Linked DNA regions of Ovis aries. The protein of the gene in region 1 purifies or fractionates together with the protein of each later gene. This does not show direct contact. Links are inferred from orthologs where the notes say so. Each region holds a gene or a part of one and is shown on either strand. Other genes may lie near its edges.

Region 1 (3,581 bases):
GATGCACGAAACTCACTTTTCAAAATCTACTTGAAACAGGTCTACCTCAAATAATTTAATTAACTCAAAAATGTCAAAATCAGAATATTTAAAATCACTTAGTTCTCATTTCCTTTGGCATCCATCGTACTCGAGTTAGAGCACAGCGCTCGCTTCTCACACAGATCTGCACGATATCTGCTTTCCGAGAGGCATGGGTGGTCTTGGGGTTCCTGTCCCCACGGCCTGCCACCAAAGCCCCCGGGCCCACCACCGTGCGCCTGCTCCTGATGAAAGAAGCCGGGCCGCAGCCACGCGGGCACTGCCCACCCCACGTGGGTGCTGCCCAACCATGCCCAGGTGGCACACTCCTGGGCACGGACGGGACAGGACGGCTGGGGGGGTCACTCCCACCAGGAGCCCAGCACGGCGTGAGCTGTGGAGAGACGAGCTGCCCTGGCTAAACACCGCCTGGATGTTCATTAGAGGACATGTGGCGTGTTACGGAAGGAAACCTCAGGCCCGCGTGGGTCACGTGTGCTGCAGATCTGTGCAGTGTGATGTCTCCACTCCTCACTGACAGTGAAGCCAAGCGCTGCCCAGCATGGAGGCAGTGGAGGAGCAAAGCCCTGCCCTGGGGGCCCACGGGGCAGGAGGCTGGGCGGTCCGCACCTGCATGCTGAGGACGGTCAGGTTGGTGAGTGCATCCAGATTCTGAAGCTTAGTGATCTTGTTCTTCCCCAGAAACAAGCTCTCCAGGCTGGTTAACGCGTCGACATTCTCAATCACCTGCGAAGATCAGGGCAAGGCAGCAGTCACGGGAGGGGAGGGCCCGACCCCTTGGGCGAGCAGACAGAGCTGCCTGCGTGTCGGGCAAGTGCTGCCCGCTCTGGGATCCCCCAGGCAACCTCACTTCAGAGCGCAACCTGAGAACAGACGCTGGTGGTGTCCTGCGGGTGGCAGCTGCGGGAGCCCCGGGCCTGGGACGCCTGCAGGCTCCTCCCCGCTCTGCCCCGTGCTCCCCAGGGCCCCATGGGCAGCTGCGCTAGTGAGCGCCCCTGGCAGGCCTCAGGTCCCCGCCTCCCGGGTACACCACTCTCCCACAACAGGCTAGCTGAGCTTTTCCGGCAGGGGCTGCAGCGGGGCCTCCAAGGGCAGAGTGAGCCTCTTCTTCAGTCCTCACAGCAGGATGGGCCGGGGCTGGGCCGGGGCTGGCCCGGGAGGACGAGGACTCAGAGGCAGGGCAGCCCCGCCTGCCGTCACCTGCGTCGGCTGTGACGCGGCCCCTCTCCCCCACAGGGATGCTGCGGAACACGCTGATGCCTGGACCACCCCGAGTTTCACACGTGCTGCTTTGCTACTTTCGACCACACCACCACCACCACCACCACCACCACCGGTCACAAGAAGCCCTTTGCCGCAAACACCCTCCTTGGTTTGCGTCCTGTCTAGCTCACAAGGGCCAACCTGAGCTGACCAGTGTGCTAGAAGCTTCCAAAAGTTGGAGGGGCATTTCTGGCATGCAGGTGGAGGAAGGGCTCAGAAACCCTGCCTACAGCCACTCAGCAGGGGCGGATGGGCCCACTAGGCACCAGGCTGTGCCCACCCTCCTATGGCCGGAGTGGGGGCCCATCCCCCTGCTGTGCATGGGCCCCTTCTGCGCCAAGAGGCGCGCCTAAAACCACACCCAGCGGCATGTCCAAAAGCCAAGCGCCGGGGCCGCTGTCGGGCAGAGTGCAACGCCTCTGCTAAGAGTTACATCGTGACTCGGATGAGGAGCAAGAGAACGCCGCGTGTGGAAGAAAGGGCCACGCTCCCACGAACACCGACCCCCAGTGAGCACTCGGTCTCGCGAGACACAGCTGCACGCCCTGCACACCTCCAGGCCGCGCCCCGCGCCCACACCCACCCGTATCCGGTTGGACCCCAGCTCCAGCATCTGCAGTTGGTGCAAGCTGCTTATGTTCTCAATTTTGCTGATCTTGTTGTTGACCAAGAAGAGCTTCTTCAGTCGTGTCAACTTATCAACGCCTTCAATGTTTCTCAGTAGATTAAAAGAAATATCTAAAACCCTGGGAACAAGCAAAGCATTCATTAACGAGCACAGGTCACGCCGAGCTCAGGACGTAGCTGACTTAGAGGCAGCAGCCCGCCCGGGGAATGTGGCGGGGCGGGCAGCCCATAGGGCCCCGAAAGCCTGCTGCCCCGGCTCCCAGCACGAGGCTGAGGACAGAAACCGTCTTCTCCCTAAGGAGCTCAGCCTGACATCTCCAGTCAAAGGCTTCACGTGCAGGCTGGGACTGTGGGCAAGCGGGTGCCCCCGCGGAGCCAGGCACAGGCCTGACCGTGGGCGGGGGCTCCCCGGCCCGAGTTCGGGCTGCAGGGCTGGTTTCGGGGCGGCTGCCAGGCCCCTTGCAGCCTCACAACTCACTCCAGCTCTGTCAGCGCGTCCAGGTTCTCAATCCTCCGGATCTGGTTGTCGTAAAGGTCCAGCTCTCGGAGGCTCTGCAGCCCCTCTAGGTTCTCAATGCACTTGATCAAATTCTGCCGGAGGCAGAGCGTCTGGGGGACAGAAAAAGGGCAGCTGACAGAGGGGACGGGGAGGCCCGTAGGAAGTGCCCACTGTCCCAGACTCGGCCTCCACACCTGGGGCCTGGGTGGGGAAGTGGTTTTGCTCCTGTTTTCTAGTACGGTGCTGACCTGGAGAGGACGGGCAGATACCCGCGGGGATGCAGGGAGGCCCTGATGAGCGTTCTTGCTGTGTGAGGGGGGTGCTGGGCAAGGGGAGGGGTGCTGTTTTCCAGCAGAGGGAACTCACTGAACTGCAGTGAGCTAAGCACATCGAGTCTGGGCTGCATGTGGCTGCAGGCAGGCCCCGACGGAGGCACCACCGATCTGAGCCACCACGCGAACCTGGGGAGAGCCAGCTAGCCGAGCGTCCGGCCTGTTACCCTGCAGGGCTCAGGATCAAAGGCGCCCGAGGGACGCTCCCGTTGCAGCGTGGCACCTTCCCGAGCACGGTCACCGCGCAGAACTGATCTGCTCCGGTTCACCCACATCCAGTGGGGGGATGCACTCTGCAGGGCCACGCGGGCCCCTGCCATGCAGGGACGAGTTCCTCTCACCTTCACTTTCTTCAGCACCTCGAATCCTTCAATTTTTCCAATGCGATAATGATTCAGATCTACATCCTGAAACAGACAAAACCTAGCTCAGCTGCAGATAGGCACCTGGAGACGCGCTTCCCGGGCTTGGAGCCATGAGGAGGCCGGGAGGCGGCGGGGCTCGGGGAGCAGTGCCGCCCGGAGTCATGGGGCCAGCTGACGCGGGCACAGCTGTGCCGTGACAGGCAGCGGCCTGACGTGAGACTGACCCTATGAACCAGTGGTGCGAGAAGCCTGCTCTCGCCTGCGCGCGCCCCTCGTCACCCCTGGGGGCTGCCCCACCCTCGCCTGCGGCTCCTCCTCGCACCAGGACGGATGTGCAGTGGTCACGGCTGCCTCTGCCACACAATTCTCGGTGTGTACAGCGCCACGCGAGACCAAGCCCTGGTGTTAAAAACAGTAAGAACACAAGGACTCTGACCAGCCAAGGGAGGCCCC
Region 2 (3,581 bases), on another chromosome or scaffold:
CCCGGGACTAAGTTAATAAGATGCTCAGGCAACAGGAGGAAGAATCTTAATTTTTGATGAAGAAGCCGACAGAGTGAGTTGTGAGTTGTTTCTTGGTCGCCTTTGGAAATGGAACCCACCTATGGTTTGAGAGTGGACAGAACAGACTATATTGCAGACAGAGTTGGTGCTATCAAATAATTGTTGAGGCTTAATGATAATCCTTAATCAGTATATCTGGAATTCTGTTTTCAGACTATTTTAAAATAGTGCATATGAAACTAAGTTGTTGCTTATAAATCATACATCTCTTAAATATTATATATATCTAATTCTCTCTTTTTTAATAAAAGCATAGTTTTTGAATATTGCCTTGGAGGACTTATCTTGAGGGTATGTATCTGCAGAACACCAGTCTCTCTTTTAACCATCCCAAAATTTCCACAGGTAAAAGAAGATATAACATTAAACTATGGAAAACTTTCACAGACTGCTTTAACTGTTTACCGATAGCAGCCATCGTGGATGAGAAAATATTCTGCTGTCATGGAGGTATGTGGGCTGATTTTAATTCCATGTAGATTTGGATTCTTCTAAAGGGTATACACTTTGACATTGATGAATTAACATTCGGATGACTTCCTCTGTGAGGTGACTCTCCTGTACTGCTGTGTTAAACCAGGAGTCCACTCTGGCACATCCAGGATCATCCGGATACAAGTCCAAAGTATGCAGTTGATTTGTTACAAAGACTTCTAGGCTCTGTAACAGTTAGTCTTGAAACTAGAGTAGAAAGTATTTTCGAATATAAAATAAACAATGTGCTATACCATAGACTCTGTAGGATACTGAAAATGTGAATATACTTTCCCTTGGACTGTTTTTGGTCTTTTCCTTTCAGAAATTTCTCTGACTTAGATGTTAAAAGTTATTTTGCTTGGTGATTGTACTTTATATGATGTAATTAAAATAGTAATGGCAAAGAGGATATCTTTTCATCTATGTCAGAAGTTAGACAACCATCAAAAAGCCAACTCGACTATATTTTAATAAAACCACTATCCTTGCCCTCCTTAGGTACTTATATACTGGTTTTGGTAGAGTTGGACATGTGATTTTTAAAGTCAGATTGAGAGCCAGTTATATCTGAGCTGGTTTGACTTTACAGTCCTTGGCCAGTGCACGTTTCCTAGAAAGCTTCATCACCTGAGTGTCTGCATCTTCTACGCCCGGTCACTACAGTGGTCATTAGGGTGCTCTGAATGTTGAAGTAACTTTCCTTGTCCTGTTTGGGCCCACACTGCCCCACAAATTAGTGCATGTAACAAGTTCCAGTGTCCCCCACCCCCCGTCCCTTTTTAACAAAAGCTAATAGGTAAGAAAAGATAACCAAAGAGTTCATGATTGAGTCTCTCTGAAGAGAAAGGGAAATATTAAAGTGCTGACTTCCCTTTTAAAATTGTGTTTTCTTCCATTTTGGTTTTTTCCCCCTCATTTAATAGGTTTATCACCAGATCTTCAATCTATGGAGCAGATTCGGCGAATTATGCGACCAACCGATGTACCAGATCAAGGTCTTCTTTGTGATCTTTTGTGGTCTGACCCCGATAAAGATGTCTTAGGCTGGGGTGAAAATGACAGAGGAGTGTCCTTCACATTTGGTGCAGAAGTGGTTGCAAAATTTCTCCATAAGCATGATTTGGATCTTATATGTAGAGCCCATCAGGTATTGATTTTGAATTTTACATGTACACTTAAGAGCATGTGTGTGAGCACAGATTCTCCTTGTTGATTTTGGTGGGTAGGTATTGCTTATTTATACAAAATGTCTCTGGAAATGACCTACAGGATATCAGGCTCAATGGGAAACTGAAGAGTGATTTTACTCACCTAAAGTTTGCACCCGTTCACATTGAAAACATTTTCTCTCCAAGGTGGTTGAAGATGGATATGAATTTTTTGCAAAGAGGCAGTTGGTCACTCTGTTTTCTGCGCCCAATTATTGTGGAGAGTTTGACAATGCAGGTGCCATGATGAGTGTGGACGAAACACTAATGTGTTCTTTTCAGGTAGAGGATGTTTTCAGCATTGTTTCCTTTTATTATGTCTGCATTTTATTGATTTTTTAAAAGTGCTAATTTCTGCCTATATTCATTTATGTGGAATAGACTGAAAAATTATTATTTTCCCTTAATTGGTGTTTGTCCTAGTTCAGTAATGAGTGAATTCCTTTTAAAAGAATGAAATGATCATAGAACTTTTGCCCCAAGTATTGAATTTAACTTTTTTCATATTATTTGAATACATTAAAATCATGAGACATTAAGTCTAAAGCTACAGTGTTAGTACCGTGTTCCGCTGAAATTAAACCACATGAAAGTAGCCCTCGCTGCCGTGCGCCAGGTGTGCCACGTGATGACTCAGTTCTCCCTCCATGTCTCTGTTTCTAAAAAACCTCTAGTGATTGACCGTGACATCATTTGGCCGTCACTTGGCACAAAAGAATCATTTACACATAAAGTCTGCAGTTTTTTTCTCATTCAATTACTATGATTAAACTTATACGACTTCAGGCTTACCCAATCATAAACAAAAACACAGCCACTGAAGTCAAGTCATCAGTTAACTGAATTAAAACAAGTGTTTTTGACTTTTTTTATTTTTAAATTATCAGGTCTTGCAACCCCCAGAGATTATGACATGATCCCCTAGGGGTTTGAGAAACACTATTCTAAAGAACTATATCCCCTGGGTCAGAAGGGATACCTAAAGATGTGACTTCAAAAAACTGTCATTTTATCCAGAGGCGAAACAGTTTGTCCAGATCATATATCATAGCGGTTTATAAGAGTATTTATTACCAAAATGTTTGTCAGCTTGGTTTGTGTTAATACGCCAGTGGAGCTTTCAGAGTTGTTGGGTCAATTTTAAACAAACTTTCTGAACAAAAGATTTGAGTGAAATGTAAGACTTGAGGTTAAGTGTATTTCCTAAAATACACTGTCTTGAATCTTTGCAGATTTTAAAGCCTGCGGAGAAAAAGAAGCCGAATGCCACAAGACCCGTCACACCTCCAAGGGGTATGATCACAAAGCAAGCAAAGAAATAGATGTCATTTTGATACTGCCTAGTTGGGACTTGTAACATATAGTACATAACCTTCATTTTTAAAACTGTAATGTGTATTGGTCAGCTTGCTCAAATAGTGTTTGTGGGGCTCCCCTTTCCATTTTTGACTTAATGAATGGTATTTGCTGGTTATAACAGCAAATGAAAGATTCTCCACTCCCAAGGAAAAATGTTTTGTTTAGTTCCCTGTTCCTTTTACAGACAACATTAATGGTGTTAAAGCTGTACACTCAGGACAGTGTCCCCTGTCTAAGGGGTGAGTGTACAACTGATCTTTTTTTAATTCAGTACAGCCCATAAATAATGTAAATGCTCATTTTCTTTAGGATATAAAGAGAGCCCTAGGGTGCTCAATCTGTACATGTTATTGTCATAAAATGCATACTGTTGGATACAAACCACTGTGAACTTTTTTGTTTCAAAGGGATTGCTTTTTTTTTTCATTGTCTTATGTACAAACTAGTTTTTATAGC
Region 3 (3,581 bases), on another chromosome or scaffold:
GGATGTAGGGGGAATGTCCACACTACTGCTCACAGACACTGCTGAACCTCTTACAATGTATGGGCCAGCCAGCTCAGCAAGGAATTATCTTTCCCCAAGTGTCAATGGACTGAAGTTGAGAGAGCTGTGCTCTGGACCAAAAGGGTTAATGGCTTTTTCCCGAGGGCACATATCTACTATCTTAATTTAAAATAGGATCTCTGACTGCAGACATGGAGGTAGTGTCTCAGTGTTAGATCCCTTAACTAGAGCAATTTATGTAAACTTTTAGAGAATTAGTGGTCAGTAATGCTTCTTCTTTTTGTGTCTGTCTGTGTGTAGGGTTTGTGAAACAGGATCTGACCACCAACCTCTTAGTGATAGTCAACAAACAAATTGTGAATATTTTGTTGACAGCCTTTTTGAGGAAGCTCAGAAGGTTGGTGCCAAATGTTTGTCTCCCACTGAACAAAAGAAACAGGTAAGTGTCCATAAATCTTTTCTTTCCTGATGTTTCTCAAAATATGGACTTTTAGAGGTCAAAACTGTTATCGTACTAATCAGTTCAGTTCAGTCATGTCCGGCTCTTTGCGACCCCATGAATCGCAGCACACCAGGCCTCCCTGTCCATCAGCAACTCCTGGAGTTCACTTACACTCACTTCCATCGAGTCGGTGATGCCATCCAGCCATCTCATCCTCTGTCGTCCCCTTCTCCTCCTGCCCCCAATCCCTCCCAACATCAGAGTCTTTTCCACTGAGTCAACCCTTTGCATGAGGTGGCCAAAGTATTGGAGTTTCAGTGTTAGCATCAGTCCTTCCAATGAACACCGAGGACTGAGCTCCTTTAGGATGGACTGGTTGGACCTCCTTGCAGTCCAAGGGACTCTCAAGAGTCTTCTCCAACACCACAGTTCAAAAGTATCAATTCTTCTGTGCTCAGCTTTCTTACTAATAGAAAGATACTATTTACTTTTTTCACTGTATTGAGTTTGCACTGATATCGCAAAAGCATTGGTCAACAAAACTGGCACCTCAGGAGGAACTGAGGCAATGGCACCACACAGCACCACACCGTACCAGTAATTACTGTACTCTTCTTTGCACTTGAGGGGGTGAAAAACACTTGTTTCAATTAAGAATGTCCTTGATAGAACAGTGAAACTTACAGATTCCATTAAATCCCAACACTTCAATACCTATCTTACTAACTTTCTGTATAATAAAATATGAAGTATATACATAAAATGAGGCTTCCCTGGTGGCTCAGACAGTAAAAAATCTGTCTGCCGTGCAGGAGACCCAGGTTCACTCCCTGGAGAAGGAAATGGCAGCCCGCTCTAGTATTCTTGCCTGGAGAATTCCATGGACAAAGGAGACTGGCAGGCTACAGTCCATGGGTTGCAAAGAGTTGGACACGACTGAGAGACTAACACACACACACAGACACATATGTGAAACTCTTCTGCAATATACAGAAGTATCTTAAGGAAAAGTACAGTTGCTTGAGATGCAAGCTGAACAGTTTGCTTTTTCATGGTGTACTGTTTATACATGAAAGGATGCTTTACAGACAACTGATTTTTCAGTCTTGGCTATCTGCAGACACTTTCTCAAAATGTATAAAATGAGTCTGACACTTCAGGGAAGTGAGATGATCCAGAAGATGTTGAGAGATGAAATATTGCTAACAGTAACACTGACAGTTCTTTTTTTAAGCAAATTATTGTGTGTTTTTTTTTAATACTTTTATTGATTTATTTATTTTTGCCTGTGCTGGGTCTTCAGTGCCGTGCAGACCTTTCTCTGGTTGTGGTGAGCAAAGGGTACTCTCCAGGTGCAGCGCACAGGCTTCTCATTGCAGTGGCTTCTCTTGTGAAGCACTCACTCTAGGGCAAGCAGGCTTCAGTAGTTGGGGCTCCCCAGTCCTAGAGCACGGCTCAGTGGTTGTGGTGCACAGCCTTAGTTATTCCGCAGCATGTGGGATCTCCCCGAATCAGGGAGCCAATCCATCTCTCTTGCATTGGCTGTCAGATTCTTTATCACTGAGCCACCCAGGAAGTCCAAACTGATAGATTACATTTGAAGGAATAGCTGTTAATTACTCTTAGTTGTTTTTCCCCCATTTTTATTTTTAATGTTCAAAGTCTAATGTTCAGGTCATTTCAGATTTCTCTAACTGTTGAGAAGTCTCTTCTGACCAGACAGCATTAGTGTCCTCTGAGATAGAGCACAGGATATTCTTCCAAATGAGTTCTCCTAAAGAAAATGATTAATGACTTACTTTAAAACATTATTCATTATGGACTAGATTATACATGAACATTATAATTTTGATATTTTATATTTGAAGCTAGCTCTTATGAATGGTATATTTAAAATTTTTAACTGTGTAATGGATGTTAATTATACTCATTCTGTAATCATTTTGCAGTATATACATACATCAAATCATTATGTTATGACTAATACAATGATGTATGTCAGTTATATCTCAATTTTAAAGAAAAGATTGATACATAAAATATACACTGATAGAAGAAATTTTCAAAGGATTTTTAATCTACTAGTACATTTTATTGATTAACATTATACATTTTGTTTCTTACTGCTTTGCAGGTAGATGTAAGTATAAAATTATGGAAAAATGGATTCACTGTCAATGATGATTTCAGAAGTTATTCTGATGGTGCAAGTCAACAGTTTCTGAACTCCATCAAAAAAGGGTAAGCAATCTTTGTTAGCAGAAGGATATTTTAGATATGTTTCATTTGGAAGATTCCTTTTTAATGTTGTTCACACATCCTTACACATTGAAAAATACTTTTTCTCTTTTAAATTCACACTTTTCATAAGATGGGTTTTCTTAAGAGAACCACAGCTGTAATCTTGAAGGGTCAGGAATGTGAATTCTGATCAACCAAAATCTGACTTAAATTAATTCACTTTGCCAAGTGTTACTTAATACCACATCACATCCTACTTGTTATTTAATAATTACGTTTAAAGATCTTTATAGTTGTTAAATTGTGATTTCCATTGCCCTGTAGTGTTTTATATTATATATTTATAAAAACTTGAAAATCACCCATAATTTCATTACCCAGAAGTATTACTGCTATTAACATTTCTGTTGAATTTCATTTTGGCACTTTCTGTTCATAGATTTATACATAATTGTGCATATATTTTAAAAAGTGTTTTGACTTTATCTTGAAATACTTGAATATATCTGTATATTATTTTGTTACAATGATGAGCCATAATGTTTATATATATATATATATATATATATATATATATACACCTAGTTGTTGGTGATTTGATTATTTCTTAAGTTGCCCACTATAAAAAATATGTGACTATCCTTGTGTTTAAATTTTTAAGAAAAATAACAGCTTTATTTTTAATTAAAGCTTTATTAAAATAAAATTAGCCTACCATAAAATTTACTCCTTTAAAGTATACAATTCATAATTTTTTAGTATATTCACAGTTATGCAACTTCAGCACTATTAATTCCAAAATATTTCCTTTTTCATCACCCTAAAAAGAACCCCCATGCTAATATCACTCTCCACTCTCCATTTCCCCCTCCTCACA
Region 4 (3,581 bases), on another chromosome or scaffold:
ATCCCGCGTTGCAGGTGAAGTCTTTACCAGCTGAGCCAAAAAGGAAGCCCAAGAATACTGGAGTGGGTAGCCTGTCCCTTTTTCAGGGGATCTTCCCGACACAAGAATCGAACCAGGGTCTCGTGCATTGCAGGAGGGGTCTTTACCAGTTGAGCTACCAGGGAAGCCTGATTCTGGGCTCCCGGAAAACTCCGTGCCCCTGACTTGGAGCCAGACGGCCGGGCACACCCCCTCCATCGTCTTGTAGGAAATGGGGATGGTAAGGGGCTGAACTCCAAGGTTGGGATGAAGATTCGTTAGTTACTGCCTTCACCGCTCATGGTCGGTCGTGGCTGCGGCTGGGGTCAGCGTCTGAGACCAGGAGTGCGCCAGGTGGGGAGGGGAGAGCGGATTCAGCCCTTTCAGGGTTTTCCTGTTTAGGTGCTGCCTGCCCTGTCCCTGTTGCTGGGAGTCGCCCAATTCCAGACTGGGGGATAGAGCGGAAGCTTCCAACTTCCCTGGGCAGCTCCTCTCCCCTGTGTTTTATTTCTGTGAAAGTCAACCCCTGGTCAAGAAGTGTCCCGGCGTAAGGACCTTTACCGGAATGTCATCTATAGCTTTTATTATGTTGAGGTGTGTTCCTTCGGAATGTCAAGGACTCATTCACTTTGGCTTCTTAGCACTTGGTCTCCAGCACTGGAGTCCAGTGAGTGGAGGACTTACCTTCTTCCTGCTGTTCTGACGCCTACAGACAAGAGCTCAGCCTCTGGAAACCCCCGTCAAGTGTAGATTTAGTTGTGCCCCTCTCCTGGAGACCGCAGAGTCAGGACCGCATCGCAGGACATCAGTGGTGTGGCTGTTAGAGCCTTTGAGGGTCGCCTCAAAGCAAAATACAAAGCTAGCCAGGCAGCCTGGGGCAGGCGTGCCTGACTGAGTTAGAGTCGGACGGTGCCTTTAATTCTTTTAAAAATTTCTCTAAACACTGTGTTCCATTTGAGCCCCGGGTAACTGAATGCTACAGATGGCAGGACGCAGATGGCGAGGGTCGTGGTAGCCTCAGTAAAGGTCCCTGCTACACAGGGCATGTTAGTGAACGGAACTACATGTTGTTGGTACTCAGGGCACCCTGGGTACCCTGGCTGTTGGGCTGTTGCTTGTGCTTCTCTGAAAAAGCTGGTGTAAATGGAGAAACAGCTGCGCAAGGAGGTGGAGCAGGAACGAAGCTGCAGGAGCCTCCCGGGCGTGAGAGGAGTGTGGCAGCCTGCCTGGAGGTGACCAGGAGAAGGGCCGGGGGTGACTGGCCATGGGCCTGGGAGGGCCGCCGTGTGGCTGAGCGACTGGTCTGAAGCTTAAGAGCCTTTGAAGTTAGTTTGGAGAAAGAAGATATTTGAGAGGGCGTGGCCAGATGGTAGGATTGTTAGTCTGTTTCTTAGAACATAGGTGATCCTGCAGAGTTGAAATAAATAAGCTTTTTGTGGATTTCTTATTATATTGGAACAAAATAAGCATTCTGTTTTTCCCCCCAGAATGGAAATGTGTACATCATTTTCTCCTAATGACAAAAATGTGAAGGTTTGCTATATTTTTTGAAAATAGACCAAATGGAAACGTGTGAAGTAGAACACGTCTGCTGAGGAGTAGGTGCCCCTGTGAAGTCACCTGTGTGCTCAGGCCCAAGGCTCCTCCATCTGAGAAACTGTCTTACAGAGCGAGGACCCTTTGTGATGAGCCTGGTCACCCCTTCAGTTCAGTTCAGTTCAGTTGCTCAGTCGTGTTTGACCTTTGCGACCCCATGGACCGCAGCACGCCAGGCCTCCCTGTCCATCACCAGCTCCCAGAGTTTACCCAAACTCATGTCTGTCCAGTCGGTGATGCCATCCAACCATCTCATCCTCTGTCATCCCCTTCTCCTCCTGCCTTCAATCTTTCCCAGCATCAGGGTCTTTTTCAAGAAGTCAGTTATTCATATCAGATGGCCAAAGTATTGGAGTTTCAGCTTCAGCATCAGTTCTTCCAGTGAACACCCAGGACTGATCTCCTTTAGGATGGACTTGTTGGATCTCCTTGCAGTCCAAGGGACTCTCAAGAGTCTTCTCCGACACCGCAGTTCAAAAGCGTCAATTCTTTGGTGCTCAGCTTTTTTCACAGCCCAACTCTCAAATCCATACATGACCACTGGAAAAACCATAGCCTTGACTAGACGGACCTTTGTTGGCAAAGTAATGTCTCTGCTCTTTAATATGCTGTCTAGCTTGGGCATAGCTTTTCTTCTAAGGAGCAAGTGTCTCTTAATTTCATGGCTCCCCAGTTTATCTGGTCTGTAAATTTAGACCCTGTGAAATTAGGGTATCTGGAAGAGGCACGCCTAAACCCTGGTGCCCTTCCAAAATGCATGTGAGTGCCCTGTCCTGCTCTGCACGGTTTCTGTGGTTCTGGTGAGTTGTCTGAACACCGAACTGTCCATCTGTGAAGATGACAGCGCATAATTGTTTGTATTAACAGCCACTTGTAAGGGAAAATGGGAAAATTGCATTATGGTCTAATTTTTATTTCTTCTTTATTTCTTCCTTAAGCCTGGCTTGGGTTTGGGTGGGTAATTCTCTGAAATCTCAAAAACAGTGTTTGCTTTTGAAGTACGTTGTTTGGAGAGAGGCTTTTAATTTCATCCTTGCCTTTGTCTCTTTAACTGTTTTTAGCTGTGGACGTGGTGGTTTGTTGAGCTCGGAAGTAATCGCATGTTTGCTTAGTTGGGAGACAGCCAAGCCTCTGTTAATTTTTTGTTTCCCTGAGAGTGACCGGTAAAAAGTTAGGGTTTATTTTTTTGTTTTTTTGTTAAAGTATCTTTGGAAATTACAGGATACAGGTTACACAAAACTCTTAACAAAGCTTGCCTGAAATAAAGGCGGATCTGTGTTTCTGCCAAGCTTGCTCCTAAGCCCGTCCTGGCCTTTGTACCTTCTAACACAGTTGCATCTTGGCGGTTGCTCTTTGCAGGTTCATGAGTGGCGTTTTGGACAGGGGGCCCGGTGTGGGAACCCAGAGCCAGTTCGCTGAACTGCCGCCGTCCCAGCCCCACGAGCGTCTGGGAAGGTCTGTGGGTGCCCCCCCGTGCCAGCCCAGGGGAGGCAGCCCTGGAAGCCGTTCTCAAGAACTTTTGCCTCAGGTGCAAAAGACTCCAGCCCCGCAAAGATGCTGAAACAGATCCTGTCGGAGATGTACATAGATCCTGATCTGCTGGCAGAGCTAAACGAGGAACAGAAACAGATCCTGTTCTTCAAGATGAGGGAGGAGCAGGTCCGCCGCTGGAAAGAAAGAGAAGCAGCGATGGAAAAACAGGAGTCCCTGCCAGTGAAACCCAGGCCGAAGACAGGTAAGCGGAGCTCACTCCTCCCGGAGCCTCCGCGGCGGGCGGCCTCCCTGCTTGTTTGCATGGCTCACACTGGTCAGCAGCTAGCCGCGTCTGAGGTCTGGTTTGGCAGGCAGACCCTCAGTGTTACTGAGCTTTTCATGGTGCAGTTGATTAGCCTGAAGCACGCGCGTGCGTGCGCGCGCACACACACACACACACACACACACACACAAGCAGCAATACTCTGGAGTGG

Evidence for each region.
Region 2: the proteins of PPP1R7 (region 1) and PPP1CC purify together in Homo sapiens (affinity purification with mass spectrometry; 8 studies listed by BioGRID and IntAct, counting the BioPlex papers as one, with this or other methods). This does not show direct contact. The link is inferred for Ovis aries from reciprocal best matches to the Homo sapiens genes PPP1R7 and PPP1CC.
Region 3: the proteins of PPP1R7 (region 1) and UBXN2A purify together in Homo sapiens (affinity purification with mass spectrometry; 3 studies listed by BioGRID and IntAct, counting the BioPlex papers as one, with this or other methods). This does not show direct contact. The link is inferred for Ovis aries from reciprocal best matches to the Homo sapiens genes PPP1R7 and UBXN2A.
Region 4: the proteins of PPP1R7 (region 1) and SH2D4A purify together in Homo sapiens (affinity purification with mass spectrometry; 3 studies listed by BioGRID and IntAct, counting the BioPlex papers as one, with this or other methods). This does not show direct contact. The link is inferred for Ovis aries from reciprocal best matches to the Homo sapiens genes PPP1R7 and SH2D4A.

What each region holds. Positions count from the first base shown.
Region 1 is NC_056054.1:607,677-611,257, forward strand, and holds part of PPP1R7 (protein phosphatase 1 regulatory subunit 7), read right to left. Parts: intron 3,171-3,581; coding exon 3,105-3,170; intron 2,542-3,104; coding exon 2,411-2,541; intron 2,052-2,410; coding exon 1,889-2,051; intron 769-1,888; coding exon 652-768; intron 1-651. UniProt on the Homo sapiens protein: Regulatory subunit of protein phosphatase 1.
Region 2 is NC_056070.1:54,596,929-54,600,509, reverse strand, and holds part of PPP1CC (serine/threonine-protein phosphatase PP1-gamma catalytic subunit), read left to right. Parts: intron 1-426; coding exon 427-531; intron 532-1,481; coding exon 1,482-1,705; intron 1,706-1,913; coding exon 1,914-2,048; intron 2,049-2,998; coding exon 2,999-3,059; intron 3,060-3,581. UniProt on the Homo sapiens protein: Protein phosphatase that associates with over 200 regulatory proteins to form highly specific holoenzymes which dephosphorylate hundreds of biological targets.
Region 3 is NC_056056.1:31,676,722-31,680,302, forward strand, and holds part of UBXN2A (UBX domain-containing protein 2A), read left to right. Parts: intron 1-321; coding exon 322-460; intron 461-2,597; coding exon 2,598-2,704; intron 2,705-3,581. UniProt on the Homo sapiens protein: Acts to repress the ubiquitination and subsequent endoplasmic reticulum-associated degradation of CHRNA3 by the STUB1-VCP-UBXN2A complex in cortical neurons.
Region 4 is NC_056079.1:37,631,317-37,634,897, reverse strand, and holds part of SH2D4A (SH2 domain-containing protein 4A), read left to right. Parts: intron 1-2,973; 5' UTR 2,974-3,168; coding exon 3,169-3,349; intron 3,350-3,581. UniProt on the Homo sapiens protein: Inhibits estrogen-induced cell proliferation by competing with PLCG for binding to ESR1, blocking the effect of estrogen on PLCG and repressing estrogen-induced proliferation. May play a role in T-cell development and function.